Coturnix japonica: one gene and its partners. The protein of the gene in region 1 interacts with the protein of each later gene in a pairwise test. Links are inferred from orthologs where the notes say so. Each region holds a gene or a part of one and is shown on either strand. Other genes may lie near its edges.

What was found.
Region 2: the proteins of ZYX (region 1) and IMP3 interact in binary tests that used the Homo sapiens proteins (3 or more experiments, as listed by UniProt). The link is inferred for Coturnix japonica from reciprocal best matches to the Homo sapiens genes ZYX and IMP3.
Region 3: the proteins of ZYX (region 1) and CASS4 interact in binary tests that used the Homo sapiens proteins (3 or more experiments, as listed by UniProt). The link is inferred for Coturnix japonica from reciprocal best matches to the Homo sapiens genes ZYX and CASS4.
Region 4: the proteins of ZYX (region 1) and NEBL interact in a two-hybrid assay, tested with the Homo sapiens proteins (2 studies listed by BioGRID and IntAct). The link is inferred for Coturnix japonica from reciprocal best matches to the Homo sapiens genes ZYX and NEBL.

Annotation. Positions count from the first base shown.
Region 1 is NC_029516.1:69,750,120-69,753,619, reverse strand, and holds part of ZYX (zyxin), read left to right. Parts: exon of another isoform or gene 1-376; intron 377-902; exon of another isoform or gene 903-977; intron 978-1,023; exon of another isoform or gene 1,024-1,134; intron 1,135-1,656; coding exon 1,657-1,908; intron 1,909-3,500. UniProt on the Homo sapiens protein: Adhesion plaque protein. Binds alpha-actinin and the CRP protein. Important for targeting TES and ENA/VASP family members to focal adhesions and for the formation of actin-rich structures.
Region 2 is NC_029518.1:100,140,899-100,143,873, forward strand, and holds IMP3 (U3 small nucleolar ribonucleoprotein protein IMP3), read left to right. Parts: upstream 1-1,342; 5' UTR 1,343-1,390; coding exon 1,391-1,948; 3' UTR 1,949-2,475; downstream 2,476-2,975. Other genes in the region: PLA2G7 (platelet-activating factor acetylhydrolase), read right to left, coding at 1-58, 1,127-1,251. UniProt on the Homo sapiens protein: Component of the 60-80S U3 small nucleolar ribonucleoprotein (U3 snoRNP). Required for the early cleavages during pre-18S ribosomal RNA processing. Part of the small subunit (SSU) processome, first precursor of the small eukaryotic ribosomal subunit.
Region 3 is NC_029535.1:10,845,571-10,849,782, reverse strand, and holds the start of CASS4 (cas scaffolding protein family member 4), read left to right. Parts: upstream 1-1,412; 5' UTR 1,413-3,398; coding exon 3,399-3,422; exon of another isoform or gene 3,423-4,212. UniProt on the Homo sapiens protein: Docking protein that plays a role in tyrosine kinase-based signaling related to cell adhesion and cell spreading. Regulates PTK2/FAK1 activity, focal adhesion integrity, and cell spreading.
Region 4 is NC_029517.1:16,578,769-16,582,728, reverse strand, and holds the start of NEBL (nebulette), read right to left. Parts: upstream 2,801-3,960; 5' UTR 2,702-2,800; coding exon 2,639-2,701; intron 2,542-2,638; coding exon 2,470-2,541; intron 1-2,469. UniProt on the Homo sapiens protein: Binds to actin and plays an important role in the assembly of the Z-disk. May functionally link sarcomeric actin to the desmin intermediate filaments in the heart muscle sarcomeres.

The DNA.
Region 1 (3,500 bases):
CTGTAGCAGGAGATTCATTGCACTGTGACAGTGAAGCACAAGACAGTCTCAGTGCCTCCATCAGCAAAAGCCTGTAACAAAAATGCCTGGAGGTCTCTGTAGAAGCTGTAGAGTTGATCAGTCCCTTCTGATTGCTGGCTCCCAGCAATGTGAGGGACCAGTGACAGACCTTGCTGACTGCGTTTCTGCCTTGGCCTTTTCCCATGCAGGACCATATGGGGCATGCTCTGCTCAGCTCTTTGTCTGCTGCTCACTGTTTTTGGAGGAACCCAGAGCTGTTTGTCAAAGCACACGCAACGTGTCAGCCCTGCGCAAAGGGAAATAAAGACTTATGTTATCGTGTGTTTGTAAGCTGTTACCAGGTCCATCTTACCAGGTGGGTCTGAAACACGTCAGCATGTAGAAGTGAGCACAGGGCTCTCAGCAGCAGCCATGGGTGATTAGTGGTGGATGGAGGTTGGTGACACCAAGGCTGTCCTAGCAGCTATCACAGCCAGCTGTCTGCATGCAGAGTGGAGGGGCACTGCTCTGAAATGCTAGCAATAGAGCCCTGGGCTATTGGTGCTAGCTGTTGGGATGGGGTGTTAGGACTGCAGGCATGCCGGGGTTACAACAAAGCATCTGGCTTTGAGATTTCTAGCACAGATGAAATTTCTGACCTGAATTCCAGGGCTGAAGGAATGCTGGATATGTGGCCCTCGGGCTCCTGAAACAGCTGGCTTGGCGAGGCTAGTCTATGCTTATTCAGATTTGGCGACAGAAAGGAGGGAGGGCGGAGAGGCTCTCAGGGCTGCACGTAGCAGTGCTCACCCTGCTCTCAGAACAAAGCTGAGTTATTTGGCCATCCCGCAGGCAGGATGGCCAAATAAGCTGAGCTCTGGTCTCAAGCCTGAGGGATCTACCTTGAAGATGCTGAGTCGCACGGCCGCAGAAATGCTGCCCGGAGCCCTTGGAACTGCTTCCTGGTGGAGGCGGAGCAGGCGGCTGGCTCAGCCAGTGAGGGTCAGGGGATGCTCCTTCATCGGCAGCTACAGGAAGAGGGAGAAAGCAGAGGGCCCTGCCAGGGAATGTGACACCAAGAACCCCTCACCTGACCTGGTGTTTCTGCCTCTGCCTGCACACGAGGGTCTGGAGGTAAAGTGGGTGGGATGAGAGATGCAGGGGTGTGCTGGGGAATAAGGGGGTGTTACTGGGGGTGTCACAGGCTGAGGACAAGAAGAAGCAGATGACGTTAGCGGGTAAGTGGGGCAGAGTGAATGCAGATTGCAGTCGTGGAAGAGGGAGTGTGAGGGTTTGCTATGCTGGGTGAAGATGCTTGCACTGGTCATCAGCTCCTTCCTGCATAGTGTGTGGAGGGGTTTTGAGCAGCAGGGAGCTTAGTTTTCTCTGTGGCAGCGCATGGATGATAAGAAACCCCTTTGTGGTTATCACTGTGCTGAGCTAAGGAAGTGTGCTGGCTTATTCAAGCTGCCTTTAGTAGCTGTTCCTCCTTCTTCCTGTGCTGATTCTTGAAGTGTTCTGTGCTCTGCTTTGGCCCCTCGGCCTCTGCCCAGACACAAGCTCCTGTATCTCCCCATTGTATGTTCCTTTCTATTAATTCCCACTCGGACCTAAGTCTGACATCATATCACTTTCCTCTCTCTTCTCTCCTGCCAGCAGCCAAAAAGATGGCTTCTCCAGGTACCCCAGGGACCCGTATGACAACCACAGTCAATATCAACATTTCCACGCCGTCCTTTTACAACCCACAGAAGAAGTTTGCACCTGTAGTTGCCCCTAAACCCAAGGTGAATCCTTTCAAGACTGGGGGTGCATCGGAGTCATCGCTGCCACAACCTCCTGGAGCTGGAGCCCAGCGTGCCCAGATAGGGAGAGTGGGAGAGATCCCCGTAGCTTTGACAGTAGAAGGTAGGTGAAGAGGGGTGTGACAGATGTGGTTATTGCTTCTCAATTCTCAGGGTGCGAGGTCTGTAACAGGGTTAAATATGAGAATCACTGCAAATAAAGCATACTGTTGCTGTAGATGCTTGCAAGTTTCTGAGTAAGATGAAAGGATTGTGAAGTGATCTCAAAATACGTGGCAGCTCAGTTGGGAAAGGAGTTAGGAAAGCAATCCTGCGTTGCACTTCGATTTTAGTAAAGCTGGAGGAACGCAGTGTTTTTTTCATGATATTCCCAGTGTGTATAATTGTGTAACTGCAGTAGTATTCTGGCCAGCACGCCTAAGAGCAAGTATGTTGCAGAAACATTCACTCTGGTGGTGATGCATCGTGCTATTCTCTTTCTAACCAATTCATCTTAACTCCAGTTGGCTGTCTTCAATTATAGAGACCCTTCTTGTGGACTGATCTTTTGCAACAAAGACTGCAATTTCGAAGGAAGTAGAAATAATTGCATGGAAAGAACAAAATAAAAGGAAGCTAACGAAAACAGGAAACGAGACTTGTATAACTGAGTTTTCTACTTTCTGCTGTTGGTTTGGGTTGAGTGTGTTTTCCTGTGTACACTGTCTTCTTGTTTTAGTGTGTGGCTTTCTTTTTTTGTTCTTTCTTTCTCTGTTCTTGTTGGTTTGGGTGGTTGGTTGTTTTTCTTCTAAGGAGCAGAAGGTTCCTGTGTGAGGCTGGTGTGTCCTGTACTAACTCAGTGGGCAGCTGCTAATGGTAGGAAGGCTGATCTGCACTCAGAGGCAAATGACTAAACTATTCTTTCCATTTCATGAGTCACAATGGCCCCAGGGTGTCGGTGCCTCTGCCTTGTAGAATTGCACCACCTAACTGGTGACCTTTTGCTTACACGCTGTTGGCTGGAATCTTGAGTCTGTCATCCAAGGTCTTATCATATTTTATATGCTTTTCTGCTGAAGTTGTGCGGATTTGGAGCGTGTTTGTAGGTTGCATCAAACTGACAGAAAGATATTAACTTGACTACAAAAGCAAACAAATGGGTATTCAAAATTGCTTTTCAGAATGTAGTAAGTAGGGAATTGGGTGTTCGTTGTTCCACTTGTCCACTTCTTTCCCTGTAAAGCTTCTTTTGAAGGAACAAGCTTGGTGGAGATTAGCAGAACTGTTTGGCTTAAGCTGCCACGTTACCAGCGGGTAAGGGCTGCTAGCAAAGGTTTATTAACAAGGCAGATGAATGACTGAAACACAGTTTTGACTCAGTCAAGAGAGGTGTGCATCTGATTTGATTCTTCCCTGATACATCTCTTTGATCATTCTCTTCCTTTCCTTTACTCTCCCCAGAGGAATGATAGTATGACATAGACCCATAGCAATTGATCTCTGTTTTAAGTGACAGGATGGCTAAATTGCTATCGCTGTTGTAACTTTACATTTAATATTGGTCATTCAGTAAAGCTCATGCAAACTTGATCCCAAAACATCATTTCAAAGAAAAAATACTGGCTTTATATTACCTTTTTTTTCCCTTTACTCCCAAAAAGCAGAACAAGAAGACTTGGAAGAGGCACTGCATACCAGTGCAGTTTATGCATTCCA
Region 2 (2,975 bases), on another chromosome or scaffold:
GCGTCTCTTCAATCTCTGTGTCGTCACATGATGGATAATACAGGCGCAAAAAGCTGCCCTGGAATTAGCAAAAAAACAAAGGGAAGATTGTAATTTATTGATGTATGGCAATGAAAGGTCAGACTTACACCTGCTCCACCTGTACCTTCATCACAGCATGGTTGGGTTGGAAGGGACCTCAAGGATCACGAAGCTCCAACCCCCCACCACAGGCAGGGCCACCAACCTCCACATTGATACCAGCCCAGGCTGCCCAGGGCCCCATCCAACCTGGCCTTGAACAGCTCCAGGGATGGACGGGGCATCCACAGCCTCTGGGCAGCTGTTCCAGCACCTCACCACTCTCAGAGCAAAGAACTTCCTAAACTTACACCAACGTGTGACACAAGGGCAGTGAAGGAAGCAGCAAAGCTTCAGCCAGACGGGTAATTATATTAACTCAACCCCAGGGTAGTCGCAGTGAATTTCCCCTGATGAGCAACTGCTGAACAACACAGGGAAAGGTCCATTGCCATCACTAGGAATTGTAACTGTGCTCAATGCTCTAAGGGAAGGCTGACTGCAGAGAGAAACCAGCCCCGTTGTGGTGCTGTAAGAGAAGCCAGGTGGAGCAGAGCAAAACCCACGGCTTATCTCTGTGACTGGGTGATACCTCACGGGCCTGGAGAGCAAAACTGCAGTGCAAGATGAAAAAGCAAGAGGATATGAAACAGAAACTCGTAGTTAAGCCCAGCAGATGGTACTGCCGTTCCTGCCTTATCGTGGTGTCTCCCTGCACTACCGACACCCTGTTCTCTGGGCAGACACCATCTCACCTCTCACACTCCGTCCTGCAGCTGAAGCAGCTTATCCTCACCACCAGCCCCCAGCCCCCAGCGGGACCGTCCCGAGCACAGCGGGCAGAGGGAGCCGGGATGGGGCCAACAGCTGGACGGCCCGTGGGACACACGGCTGGGGGCTGCTGGACCCTGAGCTGTGCCCCGCCGGGATGGGATGGGGTGGGATGGGATGGGGTGAGACGGGACGGGACGGGACGGGACGGGATGTGATGCAGGCTCAGCTGGGGTCGCGTACATCAGCCCTGCACACAATCACGCCGTCCATCGGGCTCATCCCGGTGCCGTACCTCGGCCGCGTTGCCGGTCATCAGGTCCGTGCAGCCCACGTTGTGCGGGCCCTTCCCGGCGGGGATCCGGTAGCCCCTGTCCGCGCCGCCGCTGCCCATCTCCGGGGCTGCCTTCGCCGACAGACCTGGGGACAGAACGCCGTGTAAACACCCCGGCTCGGCCCGGCCCGGCTCCGCCCGTCGCTCGCTCCGTGGGGGCGGTGCCGGCCGTGCCCCGTCGCTCCTCCCCGGAAGGCGCCGCGTGGATCCGGGCGGCAGCTCAACATGGTGCGGAAGCTCAAGTACCACGAGCAGAAGCTGCTGCGGCGGCTGGAGCTGGTGAGCTGGGAGGCGGCTCCGGGACACGTGGCGGAGCTGCGGGCGCTGCGGCGGTTCCGCGTGGGGCGGCGCGAGGACTATACGCGGTACCGGGCGCTGGCCCGGGACATTCGGGCCCTGGCGCGGCGTCTGCGGGACCTGGGCCCGGCCAGCGCCGCGTTCCGCTCCCGCAGCTCCGCGCTGCTGCTGCACAAGCTGTACGCCATGGGGATCGTGGGCTCGCGCCGCTCCCTGGCCGTGTGCGAGCGCGTGTGCGCCGCCTCGTTCTGCCGGCGCCGCCTGCCCTGCGTGCTGCTGAAGCTGCGCATGGCGCAGAACATGCGACACGCCGTCACCTTCGTGGAGCAGGGACACGTCCGCGTCGGGCCGGACCTGGTCACCGACCCCGCCGTGCTCGTGCCCCGCGCCATGGAGGACTTCGTCACTTGGGCCGACGCCTCCAAACTGCGCGTCAAGGTGCTGGACTACAACCAGGAGCGGGACGACTTCGACCTGGAGGCGTAGGGACGGCACAGCCGGGCTGAGATACACGGGGAGAACACAGAGCTGCCAGCCCGGCCTGCACACAGCACACACAGCACTGAAATGAACTGAGCTGCTCTGCCCACAACACACACACACTGCATGAGACCTCACTGCGATGCTGCCAGACTAAGCACACCGAGGTGCCGGGCTCACCCACCAGCTGCAGCTGCTCCCTTGCTAAGGATGGCACTGAAGGAGCTTTGCATGAGGCCAAGCAGCCACTGCAGGGCTGTACCATGTGCCCAGTGCTGCTGCCACCCCAGGAAGGCAGGAAGGCTTCTCCAGCCCAGAGCAACGTGCCAGCAGGGAGGGCTGTGCAGTCAGCGAGGGACCCAGTGGTGCATAATGGGACTGTGGGTGTCTGGGCCTCACACAGACAACAGACAGAAGCGGACTTGGCGTTCCTGTGACAGCTCAGAGCGGGGCAGGGCAGGCTGCAGCTCCATGCTGGGGGTGTTAGTCCTCAGCCCAAAAAGGCAGAAATAAAATGTCCCATTTTGAAGAACTCCCCGTGGTGTCTCTTATTGCCTTTCCCTGACGCTTCCCGGGGCTGTTGGTGTGAGCAGCACTTATCTCACTGAACTGTTCTGTGCCACAGCACCGTGAGCACCATGCTCAGGTTGTGTTTGGTCACAGTTCCAGCTTGGAGAAGGGAAGGCTGCAGGGAGACCTCAGTGTGGGCATCCAGTACTTGAAGGGAGCGAATAAACAGGAGGGGAATGGCTGTTTGTGAGGGTGGGCAGTGATAGGACAAGGGGGAATGGTTTGAAACGGAGACAGGGGAGGTTCAGGTTGGATCTGAGGAGGAAGTTTTTCCCCCAGAGGGTGGTGACGCACTGGAACAGGTTGCCCAAGGAGGCTGTGGATGCCCCATCCCTGCAGGCATTCAAGGCCAGGCTGGATGTGGCTCTGGGCAGCCTGGGCTGCTGGTTGGTGACCCTGCACACAGCAGGGGGTTGGAGCTGGGTGAGCACTGTGGGCCTTTGTGATGCAGGCCGTGCTGTGA
Region 3 (4,212 bases), on another chromosome or scaffold:
TTCCTTATATCATCTTCTATTGATTGTACTGCCAACAGATGCCTAAGTGAGAGCTACGCTGTGTCTGGTTTTTGTTTTGTGTTTCTGATTCTGTCAGAGGGCAGAAAAATATTGAAATACTGAAACTGAAGTTTTGCCCCACGCTAATTTTTTTTATTAGTGTGCGTGGCATTAATTTTTTTTTTTTAAAGTCATCTCTGATTTTACTCAAGGAGTTGGGGTGTGGAATAAAATGATCCTTGCAGGAAGGATTAAACTTATTCTCCTGTCTTTCTGAATCCTGTGAAAGATAATGTGACTAAATCTTGCTCAAACTGGGCAGTGTGAGCCGGTTTTGCTCTGCATTGTATCTGTGCAATCCCCCTAAAGTCTGTTTAAAGAATGGATTACACGAGCGACGGTAGAACTCGGCGAATGTTTTAATGAAGCCTTAAGCCATCTTCGGTTCCGATTCACGCTTTGAAGCTCTTTTATATCTTTCAGTTTCTTTCCCTCAGTTGGCCAAGTGGGCCTCTGGTTCTGAGCCGGTTTTGTGCCATAAGAATTTGAAACGTGGTTTTAAATTGTTTAGATGAATTGAAGAAATGGTGTTCTAGTTCTGATATTAAAGTTCAGACTTGAAATCTCGTCTTCTTTACAATTTATCTTAAGTGTAATCTTTAAAGTAAATTCAAGGAATATTCATACTGAAGCTATTCAATGTGGCAGTGCTGCAGCATATGGAAATGAGAGTAACCTGGCTATAGAGTCCCTTTAGTAACTCCTCTGAGAAACTTGTAACGTTGATTTTCTTCATATATGTATGTCGGAAATGTAAATGTGCTTCATTTAGGAGTTCTCATTCCATCAGTCTGTTAGACAGGAATTGAGACACTTTGAATTTAAAAACAGTCTCATTGTTTCTTCTACCTGTTGTGTCTGATAGTCGGAGTTTCCCAGATCTTACTGTGTTCATTACAAGTACAGAGCAGCAAGAAATGTGTGCTTAAAACTTCTGTACGTTTGGAAATTCATTGCATGTTCTTATAGATGAGGTTTATTATCTGGTCTCTGTAGCTTTAAGAGACCCTTTATGCATTCCATCTGCAGCATAGTGTGGTACAGTGCTTTTCAGATTCACATTTGGGAATAAGTTTCCTTTAGTCATAAGCTCAGCACTTGCTTTCATTAAATGTATGGTTGTCACTGTTGGGTTCACTTTCCATTGCCACCAAGTATCTTGTCAAGGGCTGATAAGGATGCAGGTTTTTGTCTATATATAAATAAAGATTATCTTTTTAAGGATTATTTAATATATAACAAAGGAAGTGTATTAGTTTTCTATGTAAAAGCAGAATATTGGAAGGATAGAATTTGGGATGTGTTACAGTCTGAATCACTCTGTTGCACTGCATTCAAATCAGGCCGTTTTAAACTTGCAGTGTTTAATGTTTCATTTCTGTTCTTTTAAAGAGCAATTTAATATTCTTAAACAATACTGCAGTACAGAACAAATGTGTTAGACATAGCAGTTCTCTGCATCAAATGCCTAAACCTTTATCTCATGCCTCCCATGCATCTAATGGCTTCTGCTGGCTTTTTTGGTGAAGGAACAAGGAGAACTGGAGCTTGGTGGGAGGGAAAAGGGAAGTCATGGCACAGTCGTTAACCCATGCTGCACTGCTCAGCAAAGCAGCCCTGTGGTACCAGCCCCAGTTGGCTAAAGGGAGCAGTGGTAGTTCTTTATTAAACTGAAGTGTTCCTTCCAATTCTGGTAACACAGCTGTCTAGAACTCGTTTGCTGTGGACCTTTGGGCTCTTCCGTTTTCAAAGCAGTATTTAGTATATTAAACCAGTGCTGAAGTTGTTAAGTTAGCAATGTTCTTGCTTTCACTTCAAGATTCCTTAATTCTTTGCAAGCTCGGTTTGCTTGTTTTGGTCTTGAAACACAGAAGTGGAGATGCAATGTGTTAAGAAGGAAACATCCTGAAATGAGCTCCTCTGTTTTTGTCTTAGCAGAACTTCAGTGAGAGACGATGCTGCAGAGAGAGAGAACAGAGTGGCACTTGGCTGCAGGACGTTCATGTTGATTTGATTAAAAGAGTTTGATTTCAGGAGGTATTTACAAAAAGCGGCCTTGCTTTTCCCAGCAAAAATCAAGTTATTGACTAAGTTCGTTACTGTGCTTTGTTACTTGACAAATCCAAGGGCTTTGGAGCGAAGTGGTTCAGGGAGCAGCTTGTAATCTAGCATGGCAAGATATCAAAAGCAAAACCATTTTGTTTAGGCTTCAGGTTGAGTAAGATGGATTCTGCCTGAAGTAAAAATGTTTGTATGCGGGGTATAATTGTATAAAAAGGCTCAAGGCCTGAATTGAACTTGAGTTCAGGGAGCTTCTGAACAACTGAACCAAAAGCAGGGAAGTCAGGTCTGAGTGAAAAGTTCAGAGTCAGTGAGGAGATGGGCACGGTTGGGACAGATAATCAATCTCTACCTGTTTCTGTTCCCCTTCCCTAACACGGGTGGAATGTTTTTACTCAAGTTTCAGAACATTGAAGTTGACCAGGTAAATTGAGCCTGGCCCTTACAGAACCGGTCTTGCCTGCAAATGGGCACATTCAGAAGTGTCTCCAGGGCAATGACCTTCAGAAAGATGCTGTTTGTTGGTGCCTTGCTGCTCTTAAAATTCTCTGTTAGTGAAGCTGGGGAGAAGAAAACCCAACTCTGCTCGATATTTGGAATGCTCCTTCTAAGAGCATTCTATGGTAAAGGAAAGGATGCTGCCATAGAACCACTCTGCTCTGCCTGGCACAGGGCAGGATGCTGTCTCTGAGTGCAACAGGCTCAGGGCAATGAGGAGTCATCCGCATAGAATTCATCCTCACGTATGGTAATACTTAGGGTTTTCTCAAAGCCACTTTTATGTATCAACAAAAATGATAATGCTGCTGAAAATACTGAGACAGCCTTGAAAGGCATGAAAAGTTGGCTTAGGAATCCTGAACTGGTACGATTGTGGCAGCCTTCTTCCTATCGAGGGCTGTGCAGCCTCTTGTGGTGTGAAGTTTTCTTGTGTTTGTTACACTTCTAAACAGAGAAATACGGGAACAGGCAGCAGAAAAGGAGGGTGACACTTGTGGCTGTGGTTAATTGCAGCAAGCTGGTGACAGTTCAAGGACAATTCCGCTTGCGGACAGACTCAGTTCTCGATGCTCGTAGGGTTTCCCTGCTTTGTTTTGTTTTGTTTTCCACCTTATCTGCTGTTGCAGATGCTGTATTTCATGAGAACTGCCTGCACGCGTTGCTGGGTGCTGTAAGGGCAGGGCTGGCAGAGCTGCGGGTCCTACACACAGTGACTGCACAGCGCCAGGGCTCGGCAGCACCTCTGCACCGCTCTGAGTGCTGCTGCTGGTGTGAGCATGAGAAGCAGCCACACTGCAAAGGTACGTTGCTTTGGGTTGTCTGAATGTGGCACAGAAGTGAAAAGGTTCTAGGGCAGGGTTTGATGGTTGGGCTCAGCATCAGGCTTGGTGATGCTGGAGGTGTTGGATGCTCTCATCCTGGGCAGGGATGCGTTGTACTGACTGTGCTTTTATTGTGTGACAGTTCATTAATGGGGAAAATGTTGTCATGAGGGGAGCTCCAAACAAAGCAGTAATGACTGCCTGTGAATAAACACAAGTGAAACAATGGATAGACAACCTCGAGGCTGCCCTGCTTTGCTGCTCTGTGATAACGCTGTGCACGCTGTATGTTGTCAGAATCGTATGGGGAGCCCCAGTCATCTTATTGCAGATAAATTCCCGATGTAACAACAAAGCAGAAACAGATTTAAACTGCTCTCTTTGGTTTCAGTTTTTAGAAGGAAGCAATCTGCAAGGTTTGCCACGTGTCTTTGTGTATTCACGTTGTCCTAATGTGTTTTTAATAGACACAGATAAAAGAGCTTGCTGCTGTACAGTCAGAGGACTGAAGTCTTAATTCTTTATTCAGTGCTTTGATCATCCGACCATCTGCAAGTCTAACGAGCAGTGTAACAGAATGGTTGTTGAACCCCTGGTGATGGTCCCAATGGTAACTAAACAAACTGCTGCCTGGAAATGTGGGTACAGAGCAGAACAAGAGGAAGAAGTTGGTGAGCAGCCATGGGCTGTGCTCAGCATTTCCACTCAGACATGCAGCGATGGCAGAACAGTTTCTTATGTGAAGTCACCAGGGTCTGTTGCATGACAT
Region 4 (3,960 bases), on another chromosome or scaffold:
ACAAGCAAATGGATAGGCTCAGTTCCAATACGGAAGACAGAAGGCCTGGAATGGAAGGTAATTCATTTAAATAGAATATACATGACAGTTTTGAAAGCATCGATGAAATAAAATTGCATAATGGAGGGAGATTAAATGAAATGGCTTTAGAGAGAAACAATTCAGGGGGTATCAGAGCCACAGAACAACCTCAAATGAAGATGGGGATTTCCTGAAGAAGAGGAGCTCATAAACACTTCCCAGCTTCCCCACATACAGTTCAAGCCTAACAGTTGCACATGAACTCAGGAATGCCACAAGAACCACTTTTTTAAATCATATTGCCAAACTAAAGTCAGCCTGAAAAGAATGCAGGGTGAGTGTAATGAAATCACAGTATCTCAAGTCTCAAGTGCTCCTGTTACTGTGTTCTCATGGAGGAGCTGTGTTGGCAGGATACCAGACTGACAAGGACAACCACCCTGTCTCGTGGTCCGCAAGGACAAGGGCTGCTGTCACAATGTCATCTTGGGGTAAAACTGCAAACCCTCCAAAAAAACACTGTGCAGCTAAAATGAACAAAAAGTCATGGGGAAAAATTAATTAATTAATTACATAATTAAAAATAAATAAATAAAAACATGAAGATGAAGAATATGTAGAAAGTTTTGAGCATTGTTGTCTCAAAATGCAAATTCCTTACAGCTGACTGGGCTCCTCAGTGAAGTGTGTGAGGTGAAAAAACTACTACAGAACAACACTGCTGATCACAAGAAATTCCAATTCATTCCTTACGCGTATACATGTTCCATCCAAGCCAATCAGAACACACCTACTGACTTCACCAAAGGCTGAATAAAGCCTCCAAAATGAGTGCCACTTTTAAACAAAGAACATCATCTTTGAAATTAAATTTGTTCTGAACCATTACTTATTACTACAGCCTTGAAAGCAGTAACGACACATTGCCATTATGTTTCACATACCTCAGTGAAAATCAAAAGCATTTGCAGGTTAAGTGCAAGACAAGCTTTCAGCAAAAGACTACACTGTTACAGGTTTCAGGAACCTGGTTTAACTTAATTACTCACTTTAGCCCTCAAGATCCTGCAGAAAATTAGAGAAAATATAATTAACTGCTAAATGTAGTAACTAACAGTCACTGCCAACATTACCAGTAATGGGTACACAGCACAGTAGTAATTCCTTTCAATGAAAGCAAATATTTCTTCAACATTTTTGAAGGAGTTTTTGCCTTGAAAAACAGCAATCATTTTTAGAAAAATAAACTGCACAGAAGCAGCACATATTTTGGGTTGGATCGGTATTCCATCTCCATTTTTATTTGGCCTCCCCATGAGTTAACGTGTTTTATTGTGTCAGATGCTATTTCCCACAGAAAGCTTGTAGATAGCCATCAGTAAAAATAGTAATAATCTCTACCAGTTCCTAAAATAGTTTGAGATTACAAAGCAGCCATCGTGGTAGCTTCTTTTAAGGATGTTTCTAATTTTCAGCAGTCTTCTTGTGAAAATTAAAATACTACCAGATGGTTCATGGGCAAAGAAAAAGCTTTTTCATTTGTCAAGTCAAACTTTTGAGCCAGCACTGTAAAGCCTACATCTATGAGGTACCGTTTTTCTGAGTTTCCTATTCTTTTCTGATACATATCCCCTAAACATTTAAAATGTAGATTCTGTATGTCCTATTCTCAAAAAATCATTCCCCTGAATAATAACATCCTGAACCTTGCATTAATGCAACATGTGTTGCGGTAATATTATAACACAACATGAACCAGGCCCCAATTTCAGTTTCATTCGGAGAACAGTTGTGAACTGACATTTTCTCAGTCAACACCATCCTCAACATGCTGTATAGAACAATCATTCCAATTGCAATTCATATGAAGGGGAAAAGTTACTTTTCAAACCCGCTTTACCTTATCATTTCAATGGGTTTTTCCTATAGCTGCATGTCAATAATAGTCTGTTATGTAGATTTGAACTTCTACCACCAAAGACTAATAGACAATAACCAAAGTTCATCTGCTTGACTTTCACCTTCTCTCTTTACAGCTATGTAAGTACAGCACACAGTTCTATTTTAACCAACCAGACTTCATAAGATTGGGCAGCAATTGGCAAAAATACTGCATTTTACTGGTGAAATCAGCCAAAGTGCTCTCAAGGGAGTCATCCTCCACATGAGACCCAACTTTTGAAACTTCTTCCTAGGCCTATGCTTCATACAGCTTAAGTGCTCCAAAAAACTCCTTCTTCCTCAACTAATAATTCAAGGTATCAGAGTACACTGTGCTTTTCTATTATTTGTGCTCTGAATTTGAGCCTAGGATGGGCACATGCTGTATGGCACATTTCTGAATTAATATGGACTGTGAATGTATATATGTGGTAAAAATAAAGTAAAAATAAAACCACTGAAAAGAGAAATGCAAATGTAAGAATGCAAACTATCACTGTCACTTACATCACTTATTATTTCACTGCATTTTCGGGCCAGCTCCATATTTCTGTCCTCAATAACAGGCTTGAGGAAGACCTATAAAAGAAAGGTAATCATTCCAGGTTTCTTGTCCTAAAAGAGTAACAAGTAAAGAAAAAAAATATATTTCTCAAAGCTATTGGGTTTAACTCACCCTTTCTTCTTCTCCATTCTCATTTTCATCCTCTGTGAATTCCTGAGTGACAGATACTCGCATTTTAATACTTGGAGAAAACAACAATGAAAACTCTAAAAAGGATCAGAGCTGCAGGAAACAGCTCAGACTCTACAGCATGCCTGGAATCAATGCTTCATTTGTGTCCTCCACTGCACTTAACTTTACCAAGGCTCCTTCCTTATTTAGGCAGCACTTGACAGTCTTTATCTGAACAATTCAGTGTGAGTGAACTGAAAGGCATAGCAGATGGCCTTGCTAGCTATCAGTTGCAGCAGAGCTAATGCTTTCTTACAGATAAAATATAATTAAATGACCTATCTCTGTCAACTATTTATAAAATGACTGTGAAGATATGTAATTAAAATACTGTGATTCAATTAATTCATAACATAAGTAATTTAGCAAAATTACCAGGTTTAAAAGGGAAACACCGATCCTATGTTTATGGGAGAACTGTGCAGATTCAAGGCATGCAGACTCCAAAACTAGTCATCACAAAATTTTATTACGTTGGTCCAATTAAAAAAATACACCATTATCATTTTCAAGGAGATGTTGCAGTTAGTATATTTACCAGGAAGCGGTCTTTTTCTATCAAGCATAAAAAATTTCTTAAACTTTTTCCATATTACTAATAAATACATGGAAAAAACACGAGAACTCTAAAAAGATTCAGACTTCCAGGAAATGGCTCAGACTCATGAAATCATGAAATCAGTGAAGTTAGCTGAAGTTTAAATCCGTGCACAGACAGACACAAATGCATCTGCATACTTACAAACATACATGGCTATGTATTTACACAGCCATGCAGATTCATTCACCATTAAAATTGTTGTGATCTCAAAACTAACCTTTCTCAATATGAAGTCCAGCTAATAGGAAACTGAAATACATCCTTATTCCAATGGATATGGTGTCACAGAGTTTGCATCTGTAAAACACGTAAGTACATATTACAGAACGAGTCAGAGTAACCACAATTTTATTACATTCTTTCTAAACCGTAGCATGTATATTTCTCATTTTATACAGGTCATGATTTTGAACTTCAATCTAGCAGATTGATTCACCACTAAAAGGTTTTGCAGTCAGGCAAAGATACAAGCAATGTGTGCTCTTGGAAAACCTCTTCAAAGCATACTGAGTACTTGAGCCCAAACACAATGCTTCCTAGGATCTTATTTAAAAACACACATTCCTGGGGGATGAGGTAGAATATGTTAAGAAAAAAAAGCACAAACTGCTTTCATGATTTCAGTCTATAATAATCAAGATGTAGTATTCATTATGAATTA